2 linked regions of the Pelodiscus sinensis genome follow. The main gene of each other region encodes a partner of the protein of the gene in region 2 in a complex. Links are inferred from orthologs where the notes say so. Each region holds a gene or a part of one and is shown on either strand. Other genes may lie near its edges. The genes, in order: KCNJ8 and ABCC9.

Region 1 (14,676 bases), about 150 kb from region 2:
CGGAACTGGCGTCCAGATTCAGCCGCTGCTGTAACTGATCAGTTTCAACTGCGGCTGAATCTGGATGCCAGTTCTGACTTACATACAGATTCAACTTAAGAACCCCAGGCGTCCCCAAGTCAGCTGCTGCTGAAACTGATTAGCGGCTGATTCCAGGAAGCCGGGGGCAGAGCAACTCTGCCTTGGGCTTACTCGCTGGTCAGTTTCAGCAGCGGCTGACTTGGGGACACCTGGGGCAGAGCAGCTGGGGTGCTGCTGGGTTGCTCCAGTAGCGCCGAGGAGCGGCGCTGCGGGACCAACCCAGCAGCGCCCCAGCTGCTCTACCCCAGGCGTCGTGGGCAGAAAAGCCTGGTCTGCTGGGGGGGAGGGGGCACTAGCTGCGCCCCCGCCCCCCAGCAGACCAGGGAGACGCGGAGCAAAGCCACGGAGGACGCCCGCAGCAGGACAGTCCATGCGTGCCGTGGCTGTTCCGCTGCAGGCAGCCTCCGAGGCTTTGCTCCCCGTCTACCTGGTCTGCTGGTCAGACCAGGGAGACGCAGAGCAAAGCCACGGAGGACGCCCACAGCGGGACAGCCCAGGAGCTCCGCAGCTGTCCTGCTGCGGGCGTCCTCCGCAGCTTTGCTCCGCTTCTCCCTGGTCTGACCAGCAGACCAAGGAGACGGGGAGCAGCTTTTCTCGCCCCAGAGAACACAGGCGGCAGGACCACGGCTCATCTGGGCGTCCCGCCGCTCCCGTCCTCCGGGGCGAGAAAAGTCCCGTTCGTAACTGCGGATCCGACATAAGTCGGATCCACGTAACTCGGGGACTGCCTGTATATAAAGTGAAAATATCAAATATTCCTTTTAGATCAAACATTCCTTTCAGGGGAGGGATAGCTCAGTGGTTTGAGCATTGGCCTGTTAAACCTAGGACTGTGAGTTCAATCCTTGAGCAGGCCATTTAGGAATATAGGACAAAATCTGTTAGGAATGGTATTTGGTTCTGCTGTGAAGGCAGGGTCTGGACTCAATGACCTTTCAAGGTTCCTTCCAGTTCTAGGAGATAGGTGTCTCCATTTATTTCAAGATCAGGTAATCAGCTTTTCTCTATTCTTAAAAAATTAGTGACAGTATTTTTGTTCCATACCTTTCTTGGAACAGGTAGCCAGTTTTAATAGATCGGAATCATTTACTGTCAATTACTTTTCATGACTAGAAGACAGATGGTTGTCTGCCTTTTGGCCTGAAACACCACAGCTACTGATACCAAATGACATGTGTTCTTTGTCATATGCTGAAGCAAAAAGATATGCTAATCCTTCATTCACTTCTGGGAGTTATAATAAACCTTCACAATTCCCTTGCAGTAAAATGTAGTGACCTTACCAGAGCTGTTTCAATAGGGTTTTGTAGCTGCCAGGATTAGGTGGTGGCTTACCAGGGTAATGCCAGTGGATGGAATAGAGAGCAGGCCAGAATCTTGGAGTGGACACACTCCTTTTGCACCATGTCGGCAGCAGAAAGTGGCCATAAAACTGCTTGAAGCAGACAGTTAATCATTCTCCCAGTGTAAGGGACTACTGGGGACATGTCTGGCAGCATGAGGCCTGGCTTAATGCTGTTGTGCTCTGTAACCCTCCCCCCCGCTCCTCCTTCCCCGCAGCTGGCGTCAGGCTGAGTATCGTGCGTAGTCCTCACAAAAACCGAATACTGAGTCAGTGTGAACTTTAGTGCATGTGCATTCCATGCCATGGAATGTCCTCTGGGAAGGGGATATCTTGGGGTAGCAGCCAGCAAGAAAGTCTCATAGGAGAGGCGTCCATTAGAGCTGTGCTGCTGCTTTGAAGCTGAAAGGCAAGGCGAGGCCTCACAGACCAAATACGGAAAGCTCAGTAACCAACGGAGCAGCTCTCCTGAGAGGAGCAGGTTTGTGGCCTGCCATTCCTTGAGGAATACAATGGAGATGCCATAAAAAAGGAGCCTGATGCAGAGGCACTCTCAGCCCTAATTGCTTGTTTCAGAAACTCTGGCTTGCAGCCAGTTCCTAAAAAATAAATAAAAAATCAATTAATTTAGTCCAACTTGCATGGGCAACACTTCCACTTAGGAAAGCAGCATAAAACAAGAGAAGGGGTGGAGAACCTGGCTCTTCGTAGGCCAGAAAGACCACCTCTTGGCATTTTGTACATGCAGCTATGGCATTTGCATCACCAAGACAGAGCGGGAGATAAAACTGGATGTTCAGATATTATGAGTTTAATTCTACACTACCTGCCCCTTTTGTGGTCCCTATAGCAGTGCAAAGTGTGTGCAAAATGCAATCATTCTGATTCAGTAGCATAGTTCAACTGCCTTGCACTGGTGCAAACGACAGAGCAGTGGTGAATCAGACAGTTTTTGGTCCAAGAGTGAGTCCTATAAACAAGGATCTCATTGCACATATGACAGAATGGTCTCATTGCTTACCCATCCCTCCTATTAATGTTTACTCTTTGGAGTCTGCAAACATACTGTGTATATATGGAATTCCCTCCTGATCAGTCATTTGGCTGGTGTTCTGGAAAGTGTGGGTAGTAAAAGGAAAATAACCCAAACCTGTGGCCCTTATCATAATACCGAGCTAGTTTTTTACACAGCAGTTCTTGTTGTCTGAGATAAACACTGATGCAGAATGTCACAGCACTTGTCCTATAATTGAAATAATAGTCACTAATAAAGATTCAGATAAATGATTTTGGGTACTTCCATGTTTTGGCTTCCCAACTAAAGACATCTAAAAGAGCCTAATATCCAGATGCTTTCCATTTTCTGGAAATCAAGCCTCTTAAGTTGGACAAGCCAGCAAATTCAGTGGTTATCTCTGGACGTTTGGACTGATTTTCCGAAGCTAAAACATAGGTCTTGAGCTAAGCCATTTCGGGTACGTCTAAACTACATGGCACCGTCGACGGAGCCATGTAGATTTGTTTGTTTGGTAAAGTCAAATGAAGCCATGATTTAAATGATCGCGGCTTCATTTAAATTTACATGGCTGCTGCGCTGAGCCGACAAACAGCTGATCGGCTGTTTGTCCGCTCAGCGCGCTAGTCTGGACGCCCCCCTGCCAACATCAAAGCCCTTTGTCGGCAGCCCTGGTAAACCTCATCCCACGAGGAATAACGGGGCTGCCGACAAAGGGCTTTGATGTCGGCAGGGGAGCGTCCAGACTAGCGCGCTGAGCGGACAAACAGCTGATCAGCTGTTTGTCGGCTCAGCGCGGCAGCCATGTAAATTTAAATGAGGCCGCGATCATTTAAATCGCGGCTTCATTTGACTTTGCCTATGTGTCTAATCTACATGCCTCTGCCGACAGAGGCATGTAGTCTAGACACAGCCTTCTTGTTGTATCATGGTGTGAAATTAATTTCATGTTCAAGATGGTGCCAATTGATGTAGACAGAACTAAACCATCTACAACACTCACCTACGGGCTACTTTGTTGAAGCAGGCTCTATCTTTACTGGCATGGAAAGTTATCAACAGACTGTAGAGACTTATGAAAAATTGCAGGGTCTTTGTACTGTCAGATTGTGGCGATCCTATAAAGCATCAAAGAATTCTGAGGTGGGGTTTTGGGGGATGGTGGTGGGGGGGCAAAGGAGGATGGAACTGTAGAATTTGGTGGAACCTAGTGGAGAACATTAAACTTCTCAGTTGTCTATGCAGTACAGTACAATTCAAGTAAACCAAAGCCAAGTTTTACATCATTGCTATTCCGTATACCTCCTATTGTACTTTACCTGACACATGTCACGCATGGTGTCCAGTCAGTACTGCCTATACAGTTTTCTGTGCTACCATTCATGTCACCATGGGCAAAAGCCACCAGCCACCATATCATGGCAAAGAGCAACCAGCTGCACAGGAAGGACATGGTAAAGATCACCAGCGTGTGGCGCCACTTCAGGTCCACCAAGGTGGTGAAGATGTCTTGCAAGAAGCGCCCCTGCTCCCGGATGTTCTTGTGTGCCAAATTGCACGCCCCGCTCTTGGCGATGAAACGAGCTTTGCGGGGCTGGTCCCGGATGCGTGGCTTGCGAAGGTTCTCAGCCGCAATCCGTGCCAGCACATATTCTTCAGGGATAATACTCTTCCTTGCCAACATCTTCCTGCCACCATAGTCCACCTAGCAGGACACAAGTGCTTTTCCACTGGTCTCCCTTTTGTCCCTTGTCTGTCCTCCTACATTCTGAGGAAAGGAAAAATAAGATCTTGTTTGCCATCTCTTTTCCATTTTTCCCAGACAATAAAGGGATAGGCATGCAAAGTAGATGGCCCCCGTGGGAACAGCTGTTGAGTTACATGTCACTGAAATAGTATTCTACAGTGCTATTATATGCTCATTTTAGACTGTGATTGTTAAAAAGCAGTTAGGGCCAAATCCTAAAACAAATTATAAGTGATTTATCTTAGACATTGCTAGAGAGCAAAGCCACTGAAACGCCTGATAGCTGTGGACCAAAGTAAACAATGTTCCAGATCCTACTGAGATACTTAACCATGCAAGCAACTGCATGTAAGTGATTACTCCATGGAATGGGAGTACTCAGGCAAGTCAGTCTTACTTGCATGCTTACCAATTTGCAGAATTTTGTTTAACAAGGGCTGCCTGAGCCTTTCTAAATAGCTCTACTGGAGCCTGTAAGACAACTGGTATGCTACTCACTAACATGAATAAGAAGGGCTTGCACAGTGTAGTTCCAACCCATCATGTATTTCACATTAAAACAGAGACGTGTGGGAACGTACTACATCCCCTCGCTGGGAAAGTATTAACCACCGGTTGTGCTAGGGAGCAAGTTACTTTAAAAGGAGGGATTTAGCCGTCTTGTCTCCTTCCAAATCATAACAATGAAAAATAAAACAAGTGTTTTATTCTGCAGGAAATATGCGTGAAAGAAAGAAAGAAAGAAAGAAAGAAAGAAAGAAAGAAAGAAAGAAAGAAAGAAAGAGGCAGACAGGCTGGTTGGACAGGGGAAAGCAAAACTCCAGTTCTTTTTTGTTTGGTTTTTGCTCTGATGTTCCTGATGAATACCATGCCCTGCTTAATACATGTGCAAATTCACAGCAACCACAACATCCCCCCCGCCGCACCCTCTCCCCGCACTTTCTAGCCCCCGCAGACTGCGAGTCCCACTGCCCCCTTTTTTGGAGCGGGCCCTTTCATTGGCACGGGAGAGCGGCGCCCGCGGGCACCTGGGCGGCTCTGTGCCGGGGAGGGGCGGCGAGGCGGGCTCGCAGGGGCAGCGCGGGGCCCCAGAAGAGAAGCTGGCACTTACCAGACGCCGGAGCAGGACGGGCGCGCTAGGTCCCGCGCCGGGCGCTGCCTGGCCGCATCCCAGCCGGACCCCGCACCGGGACGGCGGCGGCAGTAGCCCTGCAGTCCGGCCGCCGGGGACAGGCCGGTGCCGGCTCGGTGCTGCAGCGCAGGACAAGCTCCAGAAGCGGATCTCTCGCTCCCTGCCCGCCCCCGCCAGGCGGTTTCCCCAGTGATGCTCGACTGCCCCTGCGCTGGCGCAAGGAGCTGTGATTTGTGACGGCGGAAGTGCGGGAGTAAAGGGGAGGGTGCTGGAGCGGTGTGTGGGGCAGGGCAGAGCAAGGGGGGCAGATCACAGCCCCTCTCCCACGCTCCAAACACTTGCAAACAGCCCCCAACTTTGGTTCCCCCCCACCCCAAAGGGGCAGAACAGGGGGCTGTTCTGGAGCCCAAGCCTCTACAGGCGCACAGGGGGTGGTGGTGGTGGTGGGGGGGGGGGGGATTTCCTTCTCCAAGTGTAAAGGTCAGTAGGTAACAGGGCCCTGATCCCACAGTCCCTATGCAGTCAAAGCATGCTACCCAAGAGGGAGATTTGCCAGTGTAAAGACTATAGGGATTGCCCCTAAATGCTCTTCATATAAGAAGACGATAACCTGGTCAGCCTCAGTCCCATTTGCAGAGGCCACCAAGGAGTCAAAATACCGTGAAAAGTTGCACTGCTCTAGATCAAGTTGAAAAAGTTGCCCCAAGAACGCTAGAGAGCCTTCAGTTTCTATTGAAAGTCAATGGGACTTCACTTTTTAAGTGCCCTAATCATACCTGACATGTAGAATAGTGATAGAAATGTAATGGATTGTTCACTTTCAGTCCTATTTCAATTCTAATCATACCTGAAATTCTATTTACAGACCGTAGGTTACTTTGGCACCAAATCTTTTAAACCTAGAATGAAAAAGTTGACTAAGAGAGCTTTAACATCTCTGGCAAATCATTTTAAACATTAAGAATGAAATAGAATTATTTAAATTAGATTTTAGATGAATAGTGTTGTTGTCTTCCTTATCGAATAGAAAGATTTCTGTTGAACCTAGCTTAGCAACCAAAAAACTGAAAAATACAAACCCCTTTGTCAATCCTATATTTGTATAGTCTCATTAATATTGATTATGTTTCAGTTTTAATAATGTCTCACTTTTTGGAAGCCCTGATCAAGTGTTTTTATTTCTGTGGCAAAGCACTTAAAATATAACCAAATTATTGAATTACACATGAGTATATTTCAGGCTTGATCCAAAGCCTGCTGAAGAGGATTGGAGACTTTTTTTGAGCTTTGCAGAACTAGGGCTCATTTGAAAGATCAGGCTCGTTAGCAGAGGCGCTCATTTCCTTTCTTCTCAAAAGAGTTTTAGACTTGCCCACAGCCTCACTACCTGATGGCAGCATAACTGTGAAATATGTTTCAAGCTGGCTGGGCAGGGGGTGGTGGTAAACTGAGGTACTACTTTCTTCTCCCTACTGCAAAATCTGCTACTGAGTTTGATGAGATAACTGACGTGTACAATTAAACCTGTGAATAAGTGTTTGCAGGAGCAAGGCCAAAATCTGTCAAGGTTTCTGCTGCCTCTACGCCACTGACTTCATTATTTTGCTACTGCAATAGAAGACCTTTTTACAGCTCCAGAACTCCCATTAATTTGAATTGGTGCTGAATGGGCCTGTTCTCACAGTTAGCTGGTGCAGCAGGTACTGAGTGGTAGGAGATGGGCGTAGGAGAAAGTATTCATGGACAGGAATACTTAAAGCAAACAATGAAATAAACAAGATTCTCTCCCTTCAAGTTAAAAGCCATAATTGTGGCAGTTTCTCAGATTCTCATGTTTAATGGAAGCTTTCTTTCAAGGAAATTTGACATCCCCTCCCCCACACCTACACATAGAAAGAATAAACAGAACATCAGCTTCATGAAGTATCTAAATTTAGATTTTAAGGAAGCAAAGTGTGCTCTGCACTACTCTGCATTTTGCCTGATAAACTCCTTTGTGCCCATAGTGCTTGCAACTCTGTGTGTGTGTGTGTGTGTGTGTGTGTGTGTGTGATGCCCCAAAATCGGCAAAAACTTATGCACATGCTTAACTTTAAGCGGATAAATAAACCCAGTTGGTACTACTCAGCTACTTAAAATTAAGCATATATAGTAATTTTTGCAGGAGCAGAGGCTACTGGAAACCAAGTTCTTCAGAGTTCTAATCTCAGTTCTACCACTGAGTCATTATAAGACGGAGGCAAGTCACTTAACTTCTCAGATCCCTTTCTGTAGAATGGGAATATTATATTGCCTCCATAAGCAGAGTCTGAATTAATTCCACAGACAGCTAGCTGGGAGGGGGAGAGCCTTTAGGAGCAAACTCTATTACATGAACACATAATATTGGGCTAGATGAATCTTTGGTCTGACCCAGTATGGCTGTTTTTATGTTCTTATGGGGCTAGTAGAATGCTTCTAACTGAGGTTTCGGTAAGGTTTAGTAAATTGTTATTCATCCTGGTTATTTAATTTTAGAGGCTCACTACAGGCACATGAGTTGCTACGAAGTGTTCAAATGCAGAAAGCTACTCGTGTGTGTGATTTAATGTGTGCAGAAGCAAGGCCATAGTGTGCAGTATAGGGCTTTGAGACCCCAACAACAAGAGAGATAGGTGAAGCTGGTGCTAGCAGTTTGGAGGGGTGCTTCTTTAGTATGCTCTTTGGAAAGAGCCCTGAGCTGGACAGCTCTGAACCTCACTGCTGCGTAATCGATGCTATTAGCTCATGAGTTAAACAATGTATTTTAAACTAGCTGGTAATTTTTAAAAGATTCCATAAAATGCTTGCAGCAGATTGGGGGGAAGGAAGGCATGGGGGGGGGGGCATTCTTCCCTTCCCCAGACGTAACTATATGAAAGTTACAAGAAAAAATCTCTTATAACTGAAGGATAGCACTGTACATGTCTCAGGATTAGTGTATGATTTCCCAGTGTGTGATTATCGGCAAGATTATTTCTGAAATACTGATAGACGGCATGTGGGGAATGACATGCAAAGAGATATATATTTATATCAGTGAGAGATAGTACTGAGAGTATGATCTACTCATAGTAGATCAGTGACATTACTTGCCATTTTCTAAGAATACAAGTTGCCCCATTTACAGCTCTCGCACTGTTATGCTCCCTTCTTTTCCCTCAGATCAGGTCTTTATAACAAACAGCCCTAATCTAATCTCATTCCAGTGCTTCATGTTAGATGCCCAGTTAGAATTACAAATCTCAGCATCATTCATAGCAGTTTTATAATAGGATTAGTTCAAATGTGGAATATCTTCCCCTCCCCCTGCTCTTCAACTCTGTGGAAACAGAGTTACCACAATCAATTATAAGAATTTTGTGGAAGGGAGATTATACTTCATGCTTTTGGAGAATCTCAAATTATTAGAAATCAGGATGAGAACTAATCTGGGAATATGTAGAGGGTTTACACCTTCCTCTGAAGCATCTGGCACTAGCATTCATCTGCATCAAGATACTGAAGTAAGTGGACCTTGGATCTGATCCAGTTTTGCTGATCCTTTGTTCCTAATCCTGAATTGGAGTGCACCCTTATTAAAATGCATACAAGTGTTCCCACAAAAGACAGCTGGGCTGTGTCTACACTGGCATGAATTTCCGGAAATGCTTAAAACGGAATACTATTCCGTTTTCAGTTTTTCCGGAAAAGGAGCATCTACATTGGGGCTACGTCTAGACTGGCCACATAAAACGGAATAGGCATGCAAAGCAGGCAAGTCAGAATAGGGAAATCCGCGGGGGATTTAAATATCCCCCCGCGGGATTTAAATAAACATGGCCGCCGCTTTTTTTCCGGCTTGGGGAAAAGCCGGAAAAGAGCGTCTAGACTGGCGCGATCCTCCAGAATAAAGCCCTTTTCTGGAGGATCTCTTATTCCTACTTGCAAGTAAACTTTATTCTGGCTTTATTCTGGAGGATCGCGCCAGTCTAGACGCTGTTTTCCAGCTTTTCCCCAAGCCGGAAAAAAAGCGGCGGCCATGTTTATTTAAATCCCGCGGGGGGATATTTAAATCTCCCGCGGATTTCCCTATTCTGACTTGCCTGCTTTGCATGCCTATTCCGTCTTATGTGGCCAGTCTAGACGTAGCCTGGAAGGCTGCTTTTCTGGAAAAGCCCTTTTTCCGGAAAAGCGTCTGTGGCCAAAGTAGACACGCTTTTCCGGAAAAGAGCCCCGATCGCCATTTTCGCGATCGGGGCTTTTTTCTGGAAAAGACTACTGGGCTGTCTCCACTGGCCCTTTTCCGGAACAGTGTTCCAGAATAAGGACTTATGCCTGAGTGGGAGCAGAATAGTTTTTCCGGAATAGCGGCTGATTTTGTACAGTAGAGCATCGTTGCTTTTCCGGAAATTCAAGGGCCAGTGTAGACAGCTCGCAGCTTATTCCGGAAAAGCGGCTGATTTTCCGGAATAAGTGGCCCAGTGTAGACACAGCCCTGCCGTTCTTGCCACACTGTATGGGTGCCACCCCGTATAGCAGTACAGAAAATCAAACTGGTCTTGTGGGAAACTGCTTGGGAAATGCACTCCACAGTACACTTACTTTGCAGGCTTTCACTGATATCATGTGTGCAGTCTGAGTCTTGTGTGAAGACACCCTGCTAATAAAAAACCATATTCTGGTACCATGAAGTCTTAACGGAACGGGCAGTAGATTCATCACACATGCAAGAACAGAAACTGAAAACTATGTGCCTCAGTTATCCTGCACGAGCTTCCTTCTGTCTTATTCAGCAGCAGCAGCAGGAGGATAAAAATAGCTCTTATCATTAAAATCATGTGACTAGTATCAAGGCCCTTCATTCGAGCCAATGTAAGCTGCCAAAGCAAGTGTGTAAATGGACTGCTGTGTTTTGGCAACTTGAAGATTGTTCCTCATTAAAATGATCACAGAGTTTGAGACTTATGCAAGCTATGCAGTGCTGTGTCATGCTCTTTATATGTAGGCAGAGTTTCTTACTCCAGCCGTCTCTGCCTTTTACAGTTGTCTTATGCCATTGGCTTTCAATAGAGGGTTTTGTGGAATATATATACATACGCATACATATATATGTATAGCATGTGGGTGTGGGTGTGCACACATACCCACTGGCTGTGTCTAGACTGGCCAGTTTTTCCGGAAAATCAGCCGCTTTTCCGGAAAAACTTGCCAGCTGTCTACACTGGCCGCTTGAATTTCCGCAAGAGCACTGACGATCTCATGTAAGATTGTCAGTGTTCTTGCAGAAATACTATGCTGCTCCCATTCGGGCAAAAGCCCTCTTGCGCAAATCATTTACGCAAGAGGGCCAGTGTAGACAGCACAGTACTGTTTTGGGCAAAAAAGCCCCAATTGCTAAAATGGCGATCGGGGCTTTTTTGCGGAAAAGCGCGTCTAGATTGGCACGGACGCTTTTCCGCAAAAAGTGCTTTTGCGGAAAAGCATCCGTGCCAATCTAGATGCTCTGTTCCGAAAATGCTTTTAACGGAAAACTTTTCCATTAAAAGCATTTCCGGAAAATCATGCCAATCTAGACGCAGCCACTCAGTGGTCTTGGCATTGAATATGAAGAGAAATCCAATACTCCAGAAATCTTCCCCAGAGTACAAAGTATTCTGACTGGCACACCATGGCTGTGTCTACATTGGCACCCTTTTCCGGAAAAGGGATGCTAATGAGACCAGTCGGAATTGCAAATGCCGCGGAGGATTTAAATATCCCTCGCGGCATTTGCATGAACATGGCTGCCGCTTTTTTCTGGCTCGGGGTTTTGCCGGAGAAAAGCGCCAGTCTAGACGGGATCTTGCGGAAAATAAGCCCTTTTCCGGAAGATCCCTTATTCCTATTTGAAAGGGCTTATTTTCCGCAAAATTCCATCTAGACTGGCGCTTTTCTCCGGCAAAACCCCGAGCTGGAAAACCGGCAGCCATGTTCATGCAAATGCCGCGGGGGATATTTAAATCCCCCGCAGCATTTGCAATTCCGACTGGTCTCATTAGCATCCCTTTTCCGGAAAGGGGTGCCAATGTAGACACAGCCCATAAGTAGTTGGAACTCCTTGTTTTAAGAGAAAATGCTCTAGTTCTCTGTCTGGCTTCCCCTGTTTCTTTGGTAAATAGCAAATATACCTGGGTCTTTAATGCAATATAGCACCACAAAGGGGAAAATCCTACCTAACTCCACCGAAGGATCAGCTTTGGCTCTGAAACATGGGCATTCGAGAGCATTTGGAAAGTCATTTGTAATGCTAGTGTTATTGATGCTCCCACAGCGTCTCATATTCAGAGATTATGGGCCAAATTCAAGGTGCAGCTCAGCTCTGCTGAGTTAAATACTTGGGGAAGGATTGTGGGTTCTTTAAGGCAATTTATGCTACTTTTTTTGGAGAAAGTTCAGCTCCAGTATAGTACAGAGCGCCCTAAGGGTGTGTCTACATAGCAAAGTTATTTCGGAATGGCTATTATTCGGAAATACCTATGCGAGTGTCCACACAGCAATTCCGTTATTTCAAAATAATTTCAAAATAATGGACGGCTTATTTTGACTTCTGTAAACCTCATTCTATGAAGACTAATGCCTATTCTGAAATAGCTATTTCAAAATAAGGCATGTGTAGACGCTCCACTTCAGCTGTTTCGAAATAGAATGGCCCTGGTGAGGGGCTAAGTTATTCCTCCTGGGGCTCTAAATGGAGATAGCACGTCTACATTAAGGAAGCCCGCTTCAGACTAATTTTGAGGCTCCCTTGCAGTGTAGCTGTTCTATTTTAAAATAAGCTATTTTGGAGTAACTATTCCAGAATAGCTTATTCCGAAATAACTATGCAGTGTAGACATAGCCTAAGAGTCTACTTTGCAGCCAAGAATATAGGCGAATCAACAGTATGCCAGATAAATAATACACACACTCACTCCCATACACACCAAACTCTCTGACTACTGTAGAATGTCTACAGAGCCACTCTGGTCATTCTATATTGCTTGGGAAGCTCTTGTGGTGTTTTTCTGGGTGCAGGGCTGGCCCCCTCTGTACTGCTGGAAATGCTGCAAATTTACCAAGGTGGGACTAGGAATTGAACTCTATGTCTAGAGTGTTTATGACCTTCTAATTAATCTAGCAGAAGCAACAGCAACTGCTGTGCATAAAAATCACAAAGTTTCCATTTTGACACCTTGTTTTCAGTCACAGCTTTCTGAAATTTTCATCTTTCATGCTGAACTTTTCCATGTCCAAACAGGAATTTTAGTTGAAGTTTAAGCAAAAGGAATTCAGACATTGTCAAATGAGAAGATAATTGGGAAATTGCTTTTCTCATTACTCAACACTTCTTGCCACCTTTATATGAACAACTCTACAATTGAAACAGTTGGAATTTGAAAGCTGGAACCTGGCAAGAAAATAGCCTTCCGTAAGAGAAATGCCTTTGTGCTGGATACGATTTGTTTGATTGAGCTAGGAAGCTTTGAAGATCCTGTACAGAGCATGTAGGGTTTTAGATTTCAAAATGTATTTTGAAATGCCTCCTGCTTCATTATTTCATCTGGAGAGCCACTCTATGATCAGAGCAAGATCATTCATAATGCTATAGGCAACTTCAAAGTAGGAATAAGATCCTCCGGAAAAGGGCGCTTTTTCCGGAGAATCGGGGCCAGTGTAGACGCTCTTTTCCGGCTTTTCTAAAAGCCGGAAAAAAGCGGCGGACATTTTTATTTAAATGCCGCGGGGGATATTTAAATCCCCCGCGGATTTCCCTATTACGATAGCTGAAATTAACATGCCCCTTCCAGAAAAGGGGCCAGTGTAGACGTAGCCGCAGTCCCCGAGTTACACGGATCCGACTTATGTCGGATCCGCAGTTATGAACTGGGCTTTTCTCGCCCTGGAGGACTGGAGCGGCGGGACGCCCAGATGCGCTGCAGTCCCACCGCCCCCGTCCTCCGGGGCGACAAAAGCTGCTCCCCATCTCTCTGGTCTGCAGGGAGACCGGGAGCAAAGCCGCGGAGCATGCCCGCAGCGGGACAGCCTGGGCACGTCAGGGCTGTCCCGCTGCGGGTGTGCTCCAAGGCTTTGCTCCCCATCTCCCTGGTCAGCAGACCAGGGAGACGGAGCAAAGCCATGGAGGACGCGGGCGGTCTCACCACCCGCGTCTCCCTGGTCTGCTGGGGGGGGGGGGTGCAGCTAGTGCCCCCCCTCCCCCTCCAGCAGACCAGGCTTTTCTTGCCTACGCCTGGGGTAGAGCAGCTGGGGCGCTGCCGGGTTGGTCCCGCAGCGCCGCTCCTCGGCGCTACTGTACCAACCCGGCAGCACCCCAGCTGCTCTGCCCCAGGCGTTCCCAAGTCAGCCGCTGCTGAAACTGACCAGGGGCTGACTACAGGAAGCCCGAGGCAGAGTTGCTCTGCCCCGGGCTTCCTGGAATCAGCCGCTGATCAGTTTCAGCAGCAGCTGACTTGGGGACGCCTGGGTTTCTTAAGTTGAATCCGTATGTAAGTCAGAACTGGTGTCCAGATTCAGCCGCTGTTGAAACTGATCAGTTTCAGCAGCGGCTGACGCCAGTTCCGACTTACATACAGATTCAACTTAAGAACAAACCTACAGTCCCTATCTTGTACGTAACCCGGGGACTGCCTGTATTCAGAGTCTTTTTCTCTACATTGATTTCTTGCAATTGGTCTTATTAAAATGTTCATGGTCATCCTTCCATTGGATGACATGGTGTTTTATAGGAGGTGACACAATGGTTTTAGGCTCACCTGGTACCTGAGAAAGATCCTCAAGTGGACAACCAAATCCACTTTACTTCCCTGAAAGGTTAGAGAGACAACAAAATGGGTTCAGACTCATGATTCTGTCCCTCTACAACAGAAAACTGCCTGTGGCTTTTATAGATGCAACAGCCTGATCTTTGGATATTATGTAGGCCAGAGATTCCCTGTCTCTAAGGCAAAAAAAGATTAATGCATCCAAATCATATAAATTCTAGAATTATCTGATTTATGAAATCCAGATCTTTTAGACTCTCATTCCTTAACTCCACCTCTGCTCCAGGGAGTTGGATGAGCCAGAAAAGGGGGTAGTTCAAAAACTAGAAAGCCCTGTGTTCCAAAGAATGCCTTATACTTTTACTCTGCATAAATGATAATTTAATTTCCCTACAGAGATGACCGCATCCCACTACACTCATGACACTTATCTGCACACCAGAATTAGAGTTTTAACTATCACACCCTATTTATCTGTTCTGTCTTTATCTTACTCTTGTTCCTATACCCCTCGTTTGTAATGTTGATTGGAAAGCAAAACCTCAACGTTAATTTCACAAA
Region 2 (15,709 bases):
CAAGCACGCTGGGGGTTGTGCCATGCCGCCTGTCCTCCTGGAACTGGGGCCGGTGGCTCCATTGTTGCGGGGGTGGGGGGACTTCCTGGTACAGCCTGCAGACATGGCCCAAGGAAGCTGGGGCCATACCTCCTGGCTCTCCTCTCCAGCAGTCTAAGGCCAAGACAGGCTGCAGCTGTACTGCCCCCCAGCTCTCCAGAACTGCAGGGGAGACTGCCCCCTGGCAGGCCCAGCCAAAGTGTTCGACAGGCCCAAAGCGGTTGGCTGCACCACATGGATGAGCGGCTCCCAGCCACGGCAGCAAGTAAGCAGCCAGGTGGGTGGGCGCCAGGCAGCGTGGGACTCTGAAGGCTCGGGGCTCAAGCACCTTGCTCACCTTGTACTAAAGCCAGGCCTGCCTGCTGGCTTTCCAAATCTCCAGGATCAGCCAGGATAGGCTGTGGCTGCGCTGCCCACTGGCTCCAAGCTGGACTACAGACTCTGGAAAGAAGCTGAGAGAAGAGAAGTAACTACAGGGAGCAGAGGAAGCTCCAGTGGTGCACCCAAAGGTAGGCCAGGAGATAGAGAAGTGAAGTCAGAGCCCCAGGTAATATCACCAGAGTGAAAGCTTGAACAGACTGTTGCTGAACTGAAACCTGGAATAATCGGTGGTGTCAGGTTCCCCTACCAGCTAGTCAGAAAGTGGCACTAGCTTGGAAGTCGATCAGAAGGCTTGCTAGCACTACAGATAGTGACCTGACAGGAGAGCAGAGTGGCAAAGAGGCAGCCTCCTGAGTCCAGACAGAGACCATGTTAAATCTCATTGCAGGAGGAATAACAGGTAGTTCAAACTAGGGCTTTATTTTGAACGCCCGTTTCACTGCCGCGTGTAGACGTGGGCAGTTATTCCAGGCTTGTAAATTTCAAAAAATGGTGCCCGGCTGGGAAGATGCAAATCAAGCGCGGGATATTTAAATCCCGGGCTTGATTTGCAATTCCGAATGCCTACATTTGCAGCCTTATTCTGAAATAGGCTGCAAGTGTAGACATACCCTGAGTCTCCTTATGGAGTTTTCTGGACTCCCTATCTCCATGCTATGTTTTACCCAAGGAAGGAAGAATATGGCCCCTTGCCTCTCACTATGCGTCCTTATTGTTCGTATTTCTGACAGCAAGCCAAATCACACCAATCATCTTTGCAAGTTGGTTCTGTTTTTTGTCCCTGTCTTAGTCAAGGGCTCAGACTGAAGCAATCAACTATTTGTTGAATACTTTAAAAGACAACAGGAAATGAGGTTGGAGGGATGGAGGATGGAGGTTGACAGCATGAAAACAGTGAGCCCAAACTGGTTTCAAGCACAGTATGCTTTTGGCTCTCCTTTCACTCATTCTGAAATCAGAGGGCTTACTGGTTTACTTTGATGAAAGTTAGCTGGAAGGCAGAGAGACCATGCAATGTCTAAAAATAAACCTTCAATCTAAACATTTGAGAATTAGTTGTAAAAGTCCTACTAGCTGGCAAGAGGGGCCTCTGCTTTTGGATGGAGGAACAAAACTTGAGAGTATTGTAGTTAACAGAAATTCCTACAAATGTGATTCAGAATTAAGTGGCTGACATAGATGAGAAGAAGATTGACGGGGAAGAAAAGTCAGTTCATTACAAAGACATACTAATGAACATGTCACTCTTATCCTAAACGTTGTAACGTACCAAGGAATAAATTTTGTGACTCTGAAAACAGGCTCCATTGAAGAATCATTGAATATTGATTCTCAAGACCTACCATAGGCTCAGTAACCACCCTGGCACCTCTTTATGTCTTCATCTCGGGATTAGTTCTCTCCCAGTCCAGCGCCTTCTTTTATGGTTGCTCACCCCATCATCTCAGTCTGGATTCAGGGGAGAGGCCTCGTTGTGACTCTGTCCCTCAGACAATTAGATACCCTTTTCATAAGGTATTGTGAAGGTGACATTGAAGAAATGGTGGTTAATATTTGAATCTCCACAAATCAAACCAAGATGAGTGCAAATGTCCTGGGAGTTCTAAATGGACATCACTTTATACAATATTTTATTGAATCTAAAACTTTTTAAAGGGGGGCATTTCTTTTAAAGTGGCACATAAATGTTGAATATAGTTCTCCATACTCACAAGTCTTACTTTAACTGGATCTGTTCTTTTTAAACTGCAAGGCACTTGCAAACTGGTTATTTTACTAATAAAAGAAAGTTCTTCTTCACACAGCGTGTAGTCAACCTGTGGAACTCCTTGCCAGAGGAGGCTGTGAAGGCTAGGACTATAATAGAGTTTAAAGAGAAGCTAGATAATTTCATGGAGGTTAGGTCCATAAAAGGCTATTAGCCAGGGGATAAAATGGTATCTTTGGCCTCTGTCTGTCAGAGGCTGGAGAGGGATGGCAGGAGACAAATCGCTTGATCATTGTCTTCGGTCCACCCTCTCTGGGGCACCTGGTGCTGGCCACTGTCGGTAGACAGGATACTGGGCTAGATGGACCTTTGGTCTGACCCAGTACGGCTGTTCTTATGTTCTTGTAACTATTAAGAAAAGGGTGTAAAATGTGGGTCTAAAGTGCTCCTTGTCCCTTGGAGCATGAATCCTTTGAACTTCTATGTCAAAGGCTACGTCTACACTGCAGGCTTTTGCCGGCAGAGAGTATGCTAATGAAGCACTTATTAGCATTTGTCACGCTGTCATTTGCATATTCTCTGCCTGAGGCTTTCTGTGCATGAAGTTTTGCGCAAAAGCAAACAGTGTAGATGGGTCTGTTTTGTGCAAAAAATCCCTTTTGTACAAGATCTGTATACCTCCTTTTTTGAGGCATAAGGATCTTGCACAAAAGGGGTTTTTTGCGCAAAACAGCCCCATCTACGCTGCTTGTTTTTGTGCAAAAACCTCTTGCGCAAAAAGCCTCGAGCAAAGAATATGCAAGTGACAGAAAAACAAATACTAATGAGTGCTTCGTTAGCATACTCTGCAGGCATAAGTCTGCAGTGTAGACATAGCCAAAATGTATATTTCTTTTGATCTTTAACAAAATAGCCAATATGTTTTCATGCCAGGATCAAAACATAAGGGCAAATATTGTGCCCATCTATAAAAAGGGGAATAAGAACAACCCAGGAAACTACAGACCCGTCAGTTTAATGTCTGTCCCAGGGAAGATAATGGAGCAGGTAATTAAGGAAATCATATGCAAACACTTGGAAGGTAATAAAGTGATAGGGAATAGCCAGCATGGGTTTGTGAAGAACAAGTCATGCCAAACTAATCTGATAGCTTTCTTTGATAGGATAACGAGCCTTGTGGATAAGGGAGAAGCGGTGGATGTCATATACCTAGACTTTAGTAAGGCATTTGATACAGTCTCGCATTATATTCTTATTGATAAACTAGGCAAATATAACTTAGATAGGGCCACGATAAGGTGGGTGCATAATTGGCTGGATAACCGTAGTCAGAGAGTTGTTGTTAACGGTGCTAAATCCTGCTGGAAAGGGATAACAAGTGGAGTTCCTCAAGGGTCTGTTTTGGGACCCGTACTGTTCAATATCTTCATCAATGATGTAGATATTGGGATAGAGAGTACGCTTATTAAGTTTGCAGATGATACCAAACTGGGTGGGGTTGCAACTTCTTTGGAGGATAGGGACATAATTCAAAATGACCTTAGCAAGTTAGAGAAATGGTCAGAGGTAAACAGGATGAGGTTTAATAAAGAGAAATGCAAAGTGCTCCACTTAGGAAGGAACAATCAGTTCCATACATACAAGATGGGAAGCGACTGTCTAGGAAGGAGCATGGCGGAAAGGGATCTAGGGGTCATAGTGGACCACAAGTTGAATATGAGTCAACAGTGTGATGCTGTTGCAAAAAAAGCAAATATGATTCTAGGTTGTATCAACAGGTGTTGTAAGCAAAACTCGTGAAGTCATTCTGCCACTCTACTCTGCACTAGTTAGGCCTCAGCTGGAGTACTGTGTCCAGTTCTGGGCGCCACATTTCAAGAAAGATGTGGAGAAATTGGAAAGGGTACAGAGAAGAGCGACAAGAATGATTAAAGGTTTAGAGAACATGACCTATGAAGCCAGGCTTCATGAACTGGGCTTGTTTAGTTTGGAAAAAAGAATATTAAGGGGGGACATGATAGCGGTTTTCAAATATCTAAAAGGGTGTCACAAGGAGGAAGGAGAAAATTTGTTCCTCTTGGTTACTGAGGACAGGACAAGGAGTAATGGGCTTAAAGTGCAGCAGGGGAGGTTTAGATTAGACATTAGGAAAAAATTCCTAACTGTCAGGGTGGTCAAATATTGGAATAAATTGCCAAGGGAGGTGGTGGAATCTCCCTCTCTGGAGATATTTAAGAACAGGTTAGATAGACATCTGTCAGGGATGGTGTAGACGGAGCTTGGTCCTGCCTTGAGGGCGGGGGGCTGGACTCGATGACCTTTCGAGGTCCCTTCCAGTCCTATTATTCTATGATTCTATGATTCTATGATATCACAGGGAATTAATTGCTTTTTTCAGTTTGTTTTAACCTGTTTTCTTCCTTGCATGTGATGTACATTTTCTTTTTTTTTATTATGCATGCCAGATGAGTAGATTAAACAGGCAGATGTTTATGAAAGTAACTCAATATTTGATTCTGCTAGCGAGCTGATTCATTATAAAAAGGGAGAACTTAGATTGTATTTATGAGCTTTCTCAATATGAAGGTGATGGAATAGCAGAAGAAAAGTCTACAGTGATTTCTAACAAAGAAAAGCAAATCTTTAAATCAATTGGTTTTCATGGGTGTAACTGTCAACCTGATCTTGAGTTTTCCCATTGATTTCAGTGTACATAGGATCAATGTGCAGAGAGCTCAATATTTCACAAAATCCTTTTCCTTTCCTAACATAAACTTTGTTTTGTTTGAAATACTTTCCCCCCAATGCTGCCTAACTCTGCGTAACATAATCTGAGCTATTCAGAATTTCCGTTGTCTGTTATCAGTTCTGCTGAGACTACAAGTAAAGTTCTTATCGTTTATTTATTTTACCAAAAATTATCCAATATATTATATTTTTCTAATTATTATTTCAACCAGGTGCAATTAATTTAAATATATTTGCTAGCTAGATATCGACTATCTAGATGCTGTTGGGCCCTGATGTGATAAATTAATTACTCTACCTACTTTACTGTTTTCAAAGCACTTAGCAATTTATACCAAGAGCCTGATTCAAAGTAAATGGAAAGATTCAAGGGGTTTTGGATCAGGCCCCACATGCACAGAAAATACATTTATTAATATATTAATGAATGTACAGGAAAATATAGGATTATAGCTGAAACTGAGTTAAACATAAAACTGTCAAAGTATTAATATTTGCAGCTGTTTCTCAGATAGAATTGTCTTGACTCCTGCTTTCTTCTTTTTTTAGAAGCTTCTTAATAAACAACTTGTAGTCTCAAATGCTAGCACGGTATGCCGTCTGCTGTGAAACAAGTTGACATTTAGACTTCAGACACTAGGATGGGACAATTGTAAAACTCATTTAAAAAGAATCATAACCCTATGAAAAATAAAGAAACATCAGCAGCTGGGAACATTTAAGTCCAAGTATATTGGTTTGAGAAGGAAAAGTTAAACAGATTTGCCCTGTAATCCTAAAGAAAACGCAAGAGTCTTTCTCCACAGACATTAGGGGAAGAAAGAGGTTAGTGGGAGAAAATAGTGGGGGATGTTGCTGCATGCCCATTTTCTTTGCTGAATGTTAGATCACACGCTGTCACTTACCTTTATATATACACTAACAAACATCAAACCCAGTTTTTCGTTGGTTGTGCTACGTGATCAATATCATTCCGATGGCAGGATTCTCCTCCACTTTGTGAAGCAGCTCCAAACCCTAGAGTGGATTATTTTTAGGCTGGTGATGGGAAGATCAGCTGCTGCCTCCTATCGAGTTTCCAAAGTGAGCAAACTTTTTCTCATCTTTCTCACACACTCCAGAGGGCAGGAAACTGAGAAGAGACAAGCAAGCAAAAGACACCAATTTTAGACCCCGTAAGCTCCAATCCCAGGAGCTTAAAAAAAAACAATCTTGAAGTGTTTTTATTTTCATTTTCCAGGGCTAAAGTGCTAAGATACAAAGGGGTTGCAAGATACTGCACAGATGATCATCAGGTGATTATTCTAAAATAATCAATATACCCCTAGATGGCCAAATGTCAAAAGGGCATGCGTGATGCAGCTTTGGAAAACAGTATTAGGCAATATGATTAAATGTAATCTTTTCTTAGTAAAGAATATAGCTCCGCATGTGAGACTACAATTTAGAACATCATCATAAAGATATGGGAAAAACTGGATCTACTCGGATACTACCACATTTTGGTTTAGAGCTCCCAAGTAAGATTATTAAAATACAGAGTAAATCTAGTCCCTCTATAAAAAATGGGTAGAATTTTTAGATTTGGGACAAAAAAAGAAAAACTACCTGTACAAGTACCAGGAATAGGTTTTTGTGGTGCAGCTGTGCCCATTTACTACAGTATCTGGATTATTTTGTACCAGGAATATTTGTTTTCTATTTAGACAGTAAAATGAGAATATAGATGTTTAAAATAGCAGTATCCAGCTACCAGATATGTATTTTTCCCCCAATGTTATCAAGTGGGATGCATCAGGGTTCAGACTTTTTCATCAAAGCAAAAGCAACTACCTTTATTTTCTATTTAGACTGTAGTGTTTGGAGCCAAATTTTAGAAAGAGCCACCTGAATCTTGATGCAAGATCCAGGATCTTGCAGTGCTGCCAGCATTCATTATGGTCGGAGATATTTTGGTGCAATAGGTGTGGTTACACTTGTTCTCAACTTAGATGGAAAACATTTTCAATTTAGATGGGACGCGTCAATTTTACCAAAATTTGCAACTTGAAAAAACTTTGAAAAAAGTTCCAAAATGGTCAAAATATTTTGATTTGGCATTTTTAAATTTTAAAAAATTACAGCTTTCTAATATGAAATGGTTTGTTTTGAAATGTAAACTCATTATTAGGGGGGAATTTTTTAACAGTCAGGATGGCAAAGAAACATTTCCAATTTGTTGAAACAAAATATTTTGCTTGACCCGACCCACATTCTGTTCCTAATTTTTTTTTCCAGGTGTGAAAATTTCCAACATTTAACTTTTTGTCCCGGTTTGGGATGGGAAAATATTTTGCTATCTCAAAGTGTTGTGGGATGGGAAAGCCATTTCCTGTCCAGCTCTGGTAAATTGTTCTGCTCTGAGGCACTGTCAAAGCCTGTGCTACTTGTTTTATACTCAGGGATGGGGGGCTGGTTTCAAAGCAGTGCTGGAATTGTTGTGTTATTATCATACACAGCAATCTACAGAAACATGCTCTGGACTTCAATTCAAGGCTCTCCCACCCCCATGCCTGAATGTACCACCGTAATAAGCTCTGTATCAGAACACTCTCCCACACGGAGGCACATCATTCAGGCAGGGGGAATGATCTGAGCTCTTTTCTTATCTGTGGGGCATTTTAAAACACGTGTGTTTCCAATCCTGTCCCACGTGTGGAATTTAGGATGGGGGAGGGAGCTGGGCTCAGAAAACAGTACCACCCAGCCGCCTAGAGGAATGGGCTATTTTTAGGGGCAGGCATGGTAAAACTGCCTTATGTAATACTGTTCTGAAGAAGAAGAAAAAAAAAAGCTGCCATTTTCCCATCTCTTGTGGGCAGATTCCCTGATCTCCAAGCACACCCAATCGGAGTCGCCCCTCTCTGGCCACCCTTTCCCCCAGCGGAAGGGACTTACCCGGAGGTAAGGTGGGAGTGTTGCCAGGCGTCTGGCTCCTGGGGATTAATCTTTGGGAGGCCAGGTATTTACTACTGCAGTCTGCCAGGGAGTCGGTAAGGAGCAGCCCAGGGAGCAGCAGCGGGGAAGAGACAGACCCAGCAAAGCGAGCGGAATGCTGCTGCTGCTGCTGCTGCGCTGCTGCTGGGGGCAGCGAGGAGCCAAGGGGGCGGGTGAGACGCGCAGACCCCCCCTCCCCTTTTAATTGTAATGAGCAATGCTACAGTCCGTTTGTGCCCCAGCCCCGGGCCCCCAGCCAGCTCCCCTCCCTCCTGCAGGGCGACACGGGGCAGCAGTCCGGAGGGCAGCTAAAGGAGCTGCTCCCGGGTTGGAGCGCACAGAGCAGAGCCGTATCGCACTCGCTGTGGCATCCCCCAAAGGGAGTGGAATTTGGCGGGATTCCCCTCACTTCCCCAGCAGTGATCAACACGAGCTAGGACTAACAGTGCACTGTACCCAGGTGTAAGCTCCCACCCTGACTCCAGTTAATGGGCCAAAGTCCGAGCTGGTGAACCAAATGGTGTTCAGTTCATAGAATCATAAATACAAGGACTGGAAGGGACCTCAAGAGGCTATCAAATCCAGTCCCCTGCCCTCACCTCCCTTGCGCCATCTAGACCATCCCTGACAGATGTTCATCTACCCTCCTCTTAAATATCTCCAAGCTGGAGAGTCTACAAACTCCCAGGCAATGGATTCCAGTGTTTAACCACCCGGACAGGAAGTTTTTCCTAATGTCCAACTTAAACCTCCCTTGCTGCAAAGTTTTCCACTCCTTACTCACTGACACCGCTTCTCCCAGCTCCAGTCACAAAGGTCACATCTACACAGCAGTGCTAAAGCCAAAATAAGCTACGTAATTTGAACTATGTCAATTACGTAGTTTAAGGTGAAATAGCTTATTTAGATTTTTGGCACTGTCTACACAGCAGGAAGTCCAAGTTAAAGCACTCTTCATCCAATTTCCCTTACTCAATGAGGGTTACAGGAATTGGAATAAGAAACACTCCAGTGAGACATTATTTTGACATTATGTCGAAATAACTCTTGCTGTGTAGACACAGACTATGTTATTTAGAAATAACATCAGTTATTCTGAAATAACGCTGCTGTGTAGACATGGCCACAGAAGAGTGTCTATGCAGATATAAATTATATGCTCAAGTGCTGGAAGGAGATGAAGGTTAAAGTAGGAGGGAAGCTAGAGTAATATACACCACTGTGGACTTCTTTAGATACTGGCAGAAGAGTGGACATAGGTCTAAGTTCTAAAGCCTTTTACTTTTGCCCTGGGAATGAGGACAGCCCAAGTTAATGTCTTTATTCAAGCTCAGGGTAACAGTGTCAAATTTGTAGATGAATTCTAGTTGCCTACCCATGCAACAAATTCCTTTGCCAATTCTGTCCACATATCTATGCAAACAACACCATCACAGGATCTAACCACATAAGCTATAACATAAGGGGCTCATTCAACTGAACATCCTCTAATGTGATATATGCCATCAAGTGTAAGCAATACCCCTCGGCCATGTATATTGACCAAACCCGACTGTCGCTGCGACAAAGGATTAATGAAAACAAATAAGACAGCAGAAAACTGTGTAGTAAACATTTTTCTACAAAGGAATTTCACCACACAATTACAGAGACTGCAGGATGGTAATTCATCTACAAATCTGACACCGTGGGAGTGTCTACACTGCAGTGTTTTTCCGAAAAAACAGCCATTTTTCTGGAAAAACAGTACTTTCATCCACACTGCTTTACAGAAAGTTGAAAGAATGGAGAGGTTTTTCTGATGGCGGTAAACTTCTTTCTATGAGGAAGAAGCCTTTTTCTGAAAAAGCTTTTTCAGAAAAAGGTGTGCGTGGACACGGAAGAGGGAGTTCTTTATAAAGAAGAGGCCTTCAGGAAATAACACAGGTGCCCTGGTGGCCACTCCGTCCATACTAATCACAACTTAAATGTAAGATAGCGTCCAATAAATGTGGATACTATCTTTCAAAAAAGCACACTGCTTTTTCATTGTGCTTTTGCTGCATGGATGCTCTCTTTTGAAATAAGCTTTTCCAGAAGATCTCTTCCAGAAAAACTTATTGCAAAAGAAACTTGCAGTCTAGATGTAGTCTGTTACTCTGGGCTTTCATAAAGACATTAAGTGGTTAAAGCCAATTTTCCCTGCCTTTAACATCTGCATTTTCACATCAAAAGCTATGAATGGGACACCTCCAGACCTCTTAATTAGCTTCTTTAACACGGGTCCTAAAAGTAACAGGTACTTTTTTTGCTGCTATATATATCTTGGATTCTGTTATTTCCACTCCAACTCATCTGAAGAAGTGGGTTTTACCCATGAAAGCCCATGATACTATATATATTTTTGTAAGTTTCTAAGGTGCCACAGAACTATTCATTGTAAACAGCAGTGATATTGAGTAATCATTTTTCAGTATCCAAGACCATAGATATGTAAATAAACAATAAACAAACTATAAATTCTGAAAAATAAATTAGCTCTTTAAATTTATTTTAAAATCTAAGGGTGCTAGGCAAGAACATATTTGATTTTTAGCATGAGAGCTGTTCCTTTAATATTCCAACTTTTTCCAGTTATAAATGTTAGAACAGTTAAAAGTTTTTAAATCACTCATGTCCTCTGAGCATAAGAATGTTTATCCACAATAGAATGCATTACAGTCCTTTTTTTATCCTATTAAATCTAAACTACTCCAAATGCAACTATTGAGTATCTTTTAAAGCATCTGTGTCATTGCTGACATTGCTTTTTTCATCTCTGCTATATTTATATATTATCTTTTAGACTGCTTCGACAATATTCAGAATAGGAACATGTAATCTTAATGTCGTCTTTTTACACTAGTAAGTCCATAGCCCCGTCTAGTCTAATTTAACCTTTTATCTGGAAATATAACCTTTCAGAGACAAAACCAAGCTGAATTTGTTCCAGTTACTGTAAAAAGTAGTTACAAAATCACGAGGAAAATTTTCAAGTTTACCTACATTATTTAGTATCTTAAGTTCTATTTTCAGATTTAGTCTGCTGGACCACATTAGCACTTCTTAAAATTTTATTCTGTATCATTTTGGTTTTTAAAGGCATGAAGATAAAATGAACAACATAAGATAATACTACAAGTGCCCACTGCTGTTACTGAAAAGTCACACAGCCTGTATGACTATGATGAAAAATGGAAACAATTACAAGAATTCAATTGAGATTACGTGTCAGCTTTGCATTAGAACTGGCAGAACACAGCCAAACCTTGTACTCTACAGTTCTCATGACTGTAACTTTACAACTTGTTTAGAATTTCAATAATGTCATATTTTATTACAGAATAAAGTTAAGGAAGGTTGAACCACTAAAACTTAAGGGAATTTCCTTTATTGGAAATGTAGAAATTTGTTGGCATGCAGCAGTCCTAAACGTCAACAGCATAGTGTCCAAAAGGTCATGCATTGGTTTTGTATTTCCATGAGTTGTGGCTTCTTCTTCAAACAGACAGTATTAACTAGGAGATCTTAAGAGACTTTATTGAGGTCTTATCTTTCTTCACACAAACCATCTTGTACCATTTTCTTGCTTTTTTAACAAAACAAAGTTAACCATATAGAGGCCTGATATTGTCTTATTGAAGTCAATGATCCAGATCATCAGATGATGTAAATCAGCATAATTTTGCTGAAGTCAGTTAAGCTATGTTGACTAACATGTGAAAATGAACAGGTCCAATGGGAGCTTTTCATGAAGTCACAATGCTGGGACTATCTGCACTCAGGCTGAAAACCTCAGAGCTGCTACCCTCTACTTCATTTGCAACGACAATTAGTTCAATCTTCAGTGGAATCCCACTACCAAATTTCCACCAACACTAATTAGTCATGGAACCTCCTCATTCCTGAAAGGGGTTTCCATGCTATGCCATGTCCATCTGAGGTCATAAAACTCCCTGACAAACTAGGGTCCAGATGCTCTGTTCTTATCCCATCTCCTGTGGAGATGGGAACCATTTTCCCATCCCCTTTCACCTCATAAAACCCACACTTTCCCTCCATGTTATGGGAAGTCTTTCAGCATGGAGGGATTCCATTGGGCAGTCCTGGGAGGAGCAACACCAAAGAGGACTGGAGTAGCTATAGGCAATATTCCCTCTAATCGTTTCCATCCACATGAGGATTTTTTCCATTCATGTGTGGAATATTTTTATGTGCACCAAGATATGTGGGAATGTGCACCACCAGTAAAAACACAAACCTAGCTGTGTGTGCTCTGCTAATCAGCTGGGTGGCATTTGAATTTCTCCGGAACGGCCACTCAAGTGCCCAGCTTACAAGGAAAACTGGCTATAGGGTGTGGGCGGCAGGAGGTAGCATCATCCTAATTGCATTAAAACCTGAAACATTGCAAATCCTACTCAATGACATTGGTAAGAATGTGAAGGAGATTGGCCTGACCATCCATACTGGACAAATGAAGTGGATGAAAACACATGTGTCGAAGCAAACGCCTCACTCAGTTTACGCGGCTAAACAGACAGTTTTATTGGCCAATAAAAGCAAAGTGAGCTAAACGTGGTCTCAGCAAAGCCGGGTCCAGTAAGGCTACCTAATACAATCAATCCTAGTATCTTTATACCCTTAACCAAACAGTCTGACGTCTGGGCATCTAATTACAGAAATAATCAATTAGACTAGGAAAAACAAAGCCTTATCAACATGATGGCGGACAGGTACGAGGGAGTACCTCTCCTCTCTGAACCAGCCTAATTAACACATTCCAATAGCACATCTGTCTTGGCCTGGCGCATGGGGTGATAGAAAGTTCACTCTGGCCTACGTGCAAAGACAAAAAGCTGAAATGGTTTCTGTTATACAAGATGGCTTCTAGCTAAACATAAACTAGCTTCATCACATGTTATTCAGAGTATATCATGCAGCTGGATGGACAGTCCATCAAGATGGTGGATCAATATGTATATCTTGGACAAGCATTGCAGATGGAAAAAGAGTGGGGCCCAGAGGTGTGCAGGAGGAGGAAGTCGGGTTGGATTGCCTTTGGGAGTCTGCGCAGTGTTTTTGTTGATTCCAAACTTTCCAGCACTGCAAAAGCCCATCTCTGTAACACCAATGACCTTTGCACGCAAGAAGCGGTGTCAATGATATCATCCATGTTATGTACGATCGGAAAAGGAGATGGGCTAACCATTAGCGAGACTGAGAGACAACAGATGGACAGCACGTATACTCCATTTGTATCCACGAGATGTAAAAAGAACAAGAGGAAGACCTCTAGCACATTGGGTGGATCCTTTATGGAGGATTCATGAAAGGACATGGACAAGAACCACACAAAACAGGATGGCATGGAAAAGTTGTGATTTGCTTCGGTGCCAAGACTATCTGCATCAATGAAATCATGGATCTTTCAAGTATTCCAAGTACAGTTTAAAGATGACACTAAAATTGGGGAACATGTGACCCTAAGAATGCAGAGGGTACGAAGCTCCCTGATATTAAGCAGTTGCAAAGCAGGTGGTAATTGAACTTCTTACTGGCCTGGATGAGCCTCAAAGCATCACAGAGTGGTTTGATGGAGTTCTGGTCATCAACAACTGTACTAGCATTCTGATCACTGGATCCTGAATTAATTAGCCCTGAAGTAAATCTGATGGAGAAAGCTGTGCCTAAGTGACAGATTAGGATGAGATGAAGAGAGCAAAACTAATTAGCTCACAAAGTAGGAAAAGGAGGAAGGAAATGCTCAGGGTTAGTGATTCTTTGTTTGTCTGACAGGTTTTTTGAGAGTCAGAGGAGATCTTTCAGAAGGAAGAAACCTTCTGCCTCTCTCCTCCTTAGCTGAGTGAGCTCAGGACTGTGTGCTTGTCAAAACAGAGATGCACAAGTTTGTAAAGGTGCTGGGGACAACAGGGTAAATAAATTGCATATGGTGTTTGATCACAAGAAGGTCCCCGAGCAGTTTGTGTGTAGAAAAGAGACTGGAGCAAAAAGATGCCCCTATCTCAAGTGGTAAACAATGAAGCAGAGAGATCACTGCATCTGAGCGATCCGGATCATCTGGTAAATTGTGCAGAAAGTGTTTTAATATAGCTAAATGTAAATCTTTACAGCTTTACAGTAAATCTTTCTAAAGAGCAAAGGCCATGCTGACAGAATGGGACACTATTTCCTCAAAGCAGGGTCCTGAAAAGGATCTGTGGGTTAGGTGGATAATCAGATGAACACAAGCTCCCACTGCAATGCTGTGGAATATCAAGCAGTAGTAGAGAGACTATTTTATCTCTGTACTTAGCCTTGCTGTGACTGCTGATGGAATATTGCATCCAGCTCTGGTGTCCACAATTTAGGAAGGATGTTGATAAATTGGAGCGGGTTCAGAGAAGAGCTACATGAATTATTAAAGGTTAGAAAACAAGCTTTATAATGATGGATTGAACTCCTTGAATCGATTTATCTTAACAAAGTTAAAGTTAAGGGATGACTTAATTGCAGTTTATAAATACCTACATGGGAAATAAATATTTGATAATAGGCTCTTCAATCTAGAAGCAGAGCCGGCCCGAGCCATTCGTGCCACCCCCGGGAGTGCGATGCATGTGTGGCTACACTCCTGGGTGTGCGGTGCATGTGCGGTGCCACCCCTGCCCAGCCTGGAAGCCCCGCGCAGCGCCCTCTATAATGGGGCGCCCCGGACGGTAGCCCAGTCAGCCCGTACCCTGGGCTGGCTCTGTCTAGAAGAGATGGTTAACACAATCCAATGGCTAGAAATTGAAGATAGGCAAATTTAGATGAGAAATAAGGCATACATTATTAACAGTGAGAGGAACTAATCATTGGGACAATTTACCAAGTCTTGGGATTTTCCATCACTGGCTATTTTAAAATAAAGATTGGATGTTTTGTTGAAAAGATCTGCTCTAGGAATTATTTGGAGGAACTTCTATGGCCTGTGTTACATTAGAGGTTAAACTAGATGATCCCAGTTGTCCCTTTTGGTTTGGAATCAATGAATGTACTTATCTTGTCCCATCAGTCAGACCATATTTTATGGGATTCATATAGATATGGAGAGGATGAGAATGGGATGATGGAACAGCTGGTACAATTCCAAGTCATCTTAATGTGATACTGTTCAATATAAGCAAGTAGAAAACAAGCATAGCCATTGAGCGAGGAGAAAATAATTCTTCCTATCATGCAATAGAAATGGGGAAGGAGATACATAGGGTGAATTGTACTGTGCTCCATAGCAAACTGTTGGCAGTCATCTAAGATTTAGTAATACAACTTTAGGGAGATTGACATCATTTGCAACATAATAATGCAAAGGTTATAAGGAATGTAAAGGAAAAATAAGTGAACTTTCGTCAGTACGATCTTCTGTTTTATATCTTGTCCCGTTAGTATAATTCTGGGTTGGATTGACAACACTATCACATCACTAAGGGAGTGAACAGAAAAATGGGAACCAACTCTTCATTACATTTTGAAACACTATCCTGCTGCGTAAGAATCAGTCTGGAGATCATTGAGTAAATACATTTGGTCTATTTTCTGTATGTGAGCCAGTTCATGAGATGATTGCACACAAGGCTGCGTCAGTCTGTTACAATAAATTACTTGATACCTCCTCCTAAACCTGTGGTCCCCAACACGGTGCCCGCAGGCGCCATGGCGCCCGCGGGGGCATTTGCATGCGCCCGCCAGGTGATCGGGGCTGGCCTGGCCCCGGGCACATGGCGCAGCGCTTGCGGGGAGCGTCGGCCCCGGGCGCGCGGCGCACGGCGCTTGCGGGGGGGGGGGAAGCGCCGGCCC

The links.
Region 1: the proteins of ABCC9 (region 2) and KCNJ8 are in contact, whole or in part, in a cryo-EM structure (PDB 7MIT), measured with the Rattus norvegicus proteins. The link is inferred for Pelodiscus sinensis from reciprocal best matches to the Homo sapiens genes ABCC9 and KCNJ8. Residues at the interface, in XP_038963045.1 of Rattus norvegicus: Phe5, Ile10, Tyr13, Asn14, Ile15, Val19, Asn22, Cys24, Phe25, Ala28, Leu29, Val32, Val35, Phe36, Phe39, Phe42, Pro43, Ile44, Phe46, Ile47, Gly48, Trp49, Gly50, Ser51, Lys55, Gln57, Ile58, Asn129, Phe130, Lys132; in NP_058795.3 of Rattus norvegicus: Met1, Leu2, Lys5, Ile7, Ile8, Pro9, Glu11, Tyr12, Val13, Leu14, Ala15, Arg16, Ile17, Ala19, Glu20, Asn21, Leu22, Leu45, Ala46, His47, Lys48, Asn49, Gly54, Arg55, Phe56, Leu57, Asp59, Ile60, Thr62, Thr63.

The regions. Positions count from the first base shown.
Region 1 is NC_134711.1:118,266,165-118,280,840, reverse strand, and holds the start of KCNJ8 (ATP-sensitive inward rectifier potassium channel 8), read right to left. Parts: upstream 5,577-14,676; 5' UTR 5,297-5,576; intron 4,207-5,296; 5' UTR 4,123-4,206; coding exon 3,758-4,122; intron 1-3,757. UniProt on the Homo sapiens protein: Inward rectifier potassium channels are characterized by a greater tendency to allow potassium to flow into the cell rather than out of it.
Region 2 is NC_134711.1:118,122,512-118,138,220, reverse strand, and holds the start of ABCC9 (ATP-binding cassette sub-family C member 9), read right to left. Parts: upstream 7,981-15,709; 5' UTR 7,814-7,980; intron 6,009-7,813; 5' UTR 5,806-6,008; coding exon 5,782-5,805; intron 492-5,781; exon of another isoform or gene 377-491; intron 1-376. UniProt on the Homo sapiens protein: Subunit of ATP-sensitive potassium channels (KATP). Can form cardiac and smooth muscle-type KATP channels with KCNJ11. KCNJ11 forms the channel pore while ABCC9 is required for activation and regulation.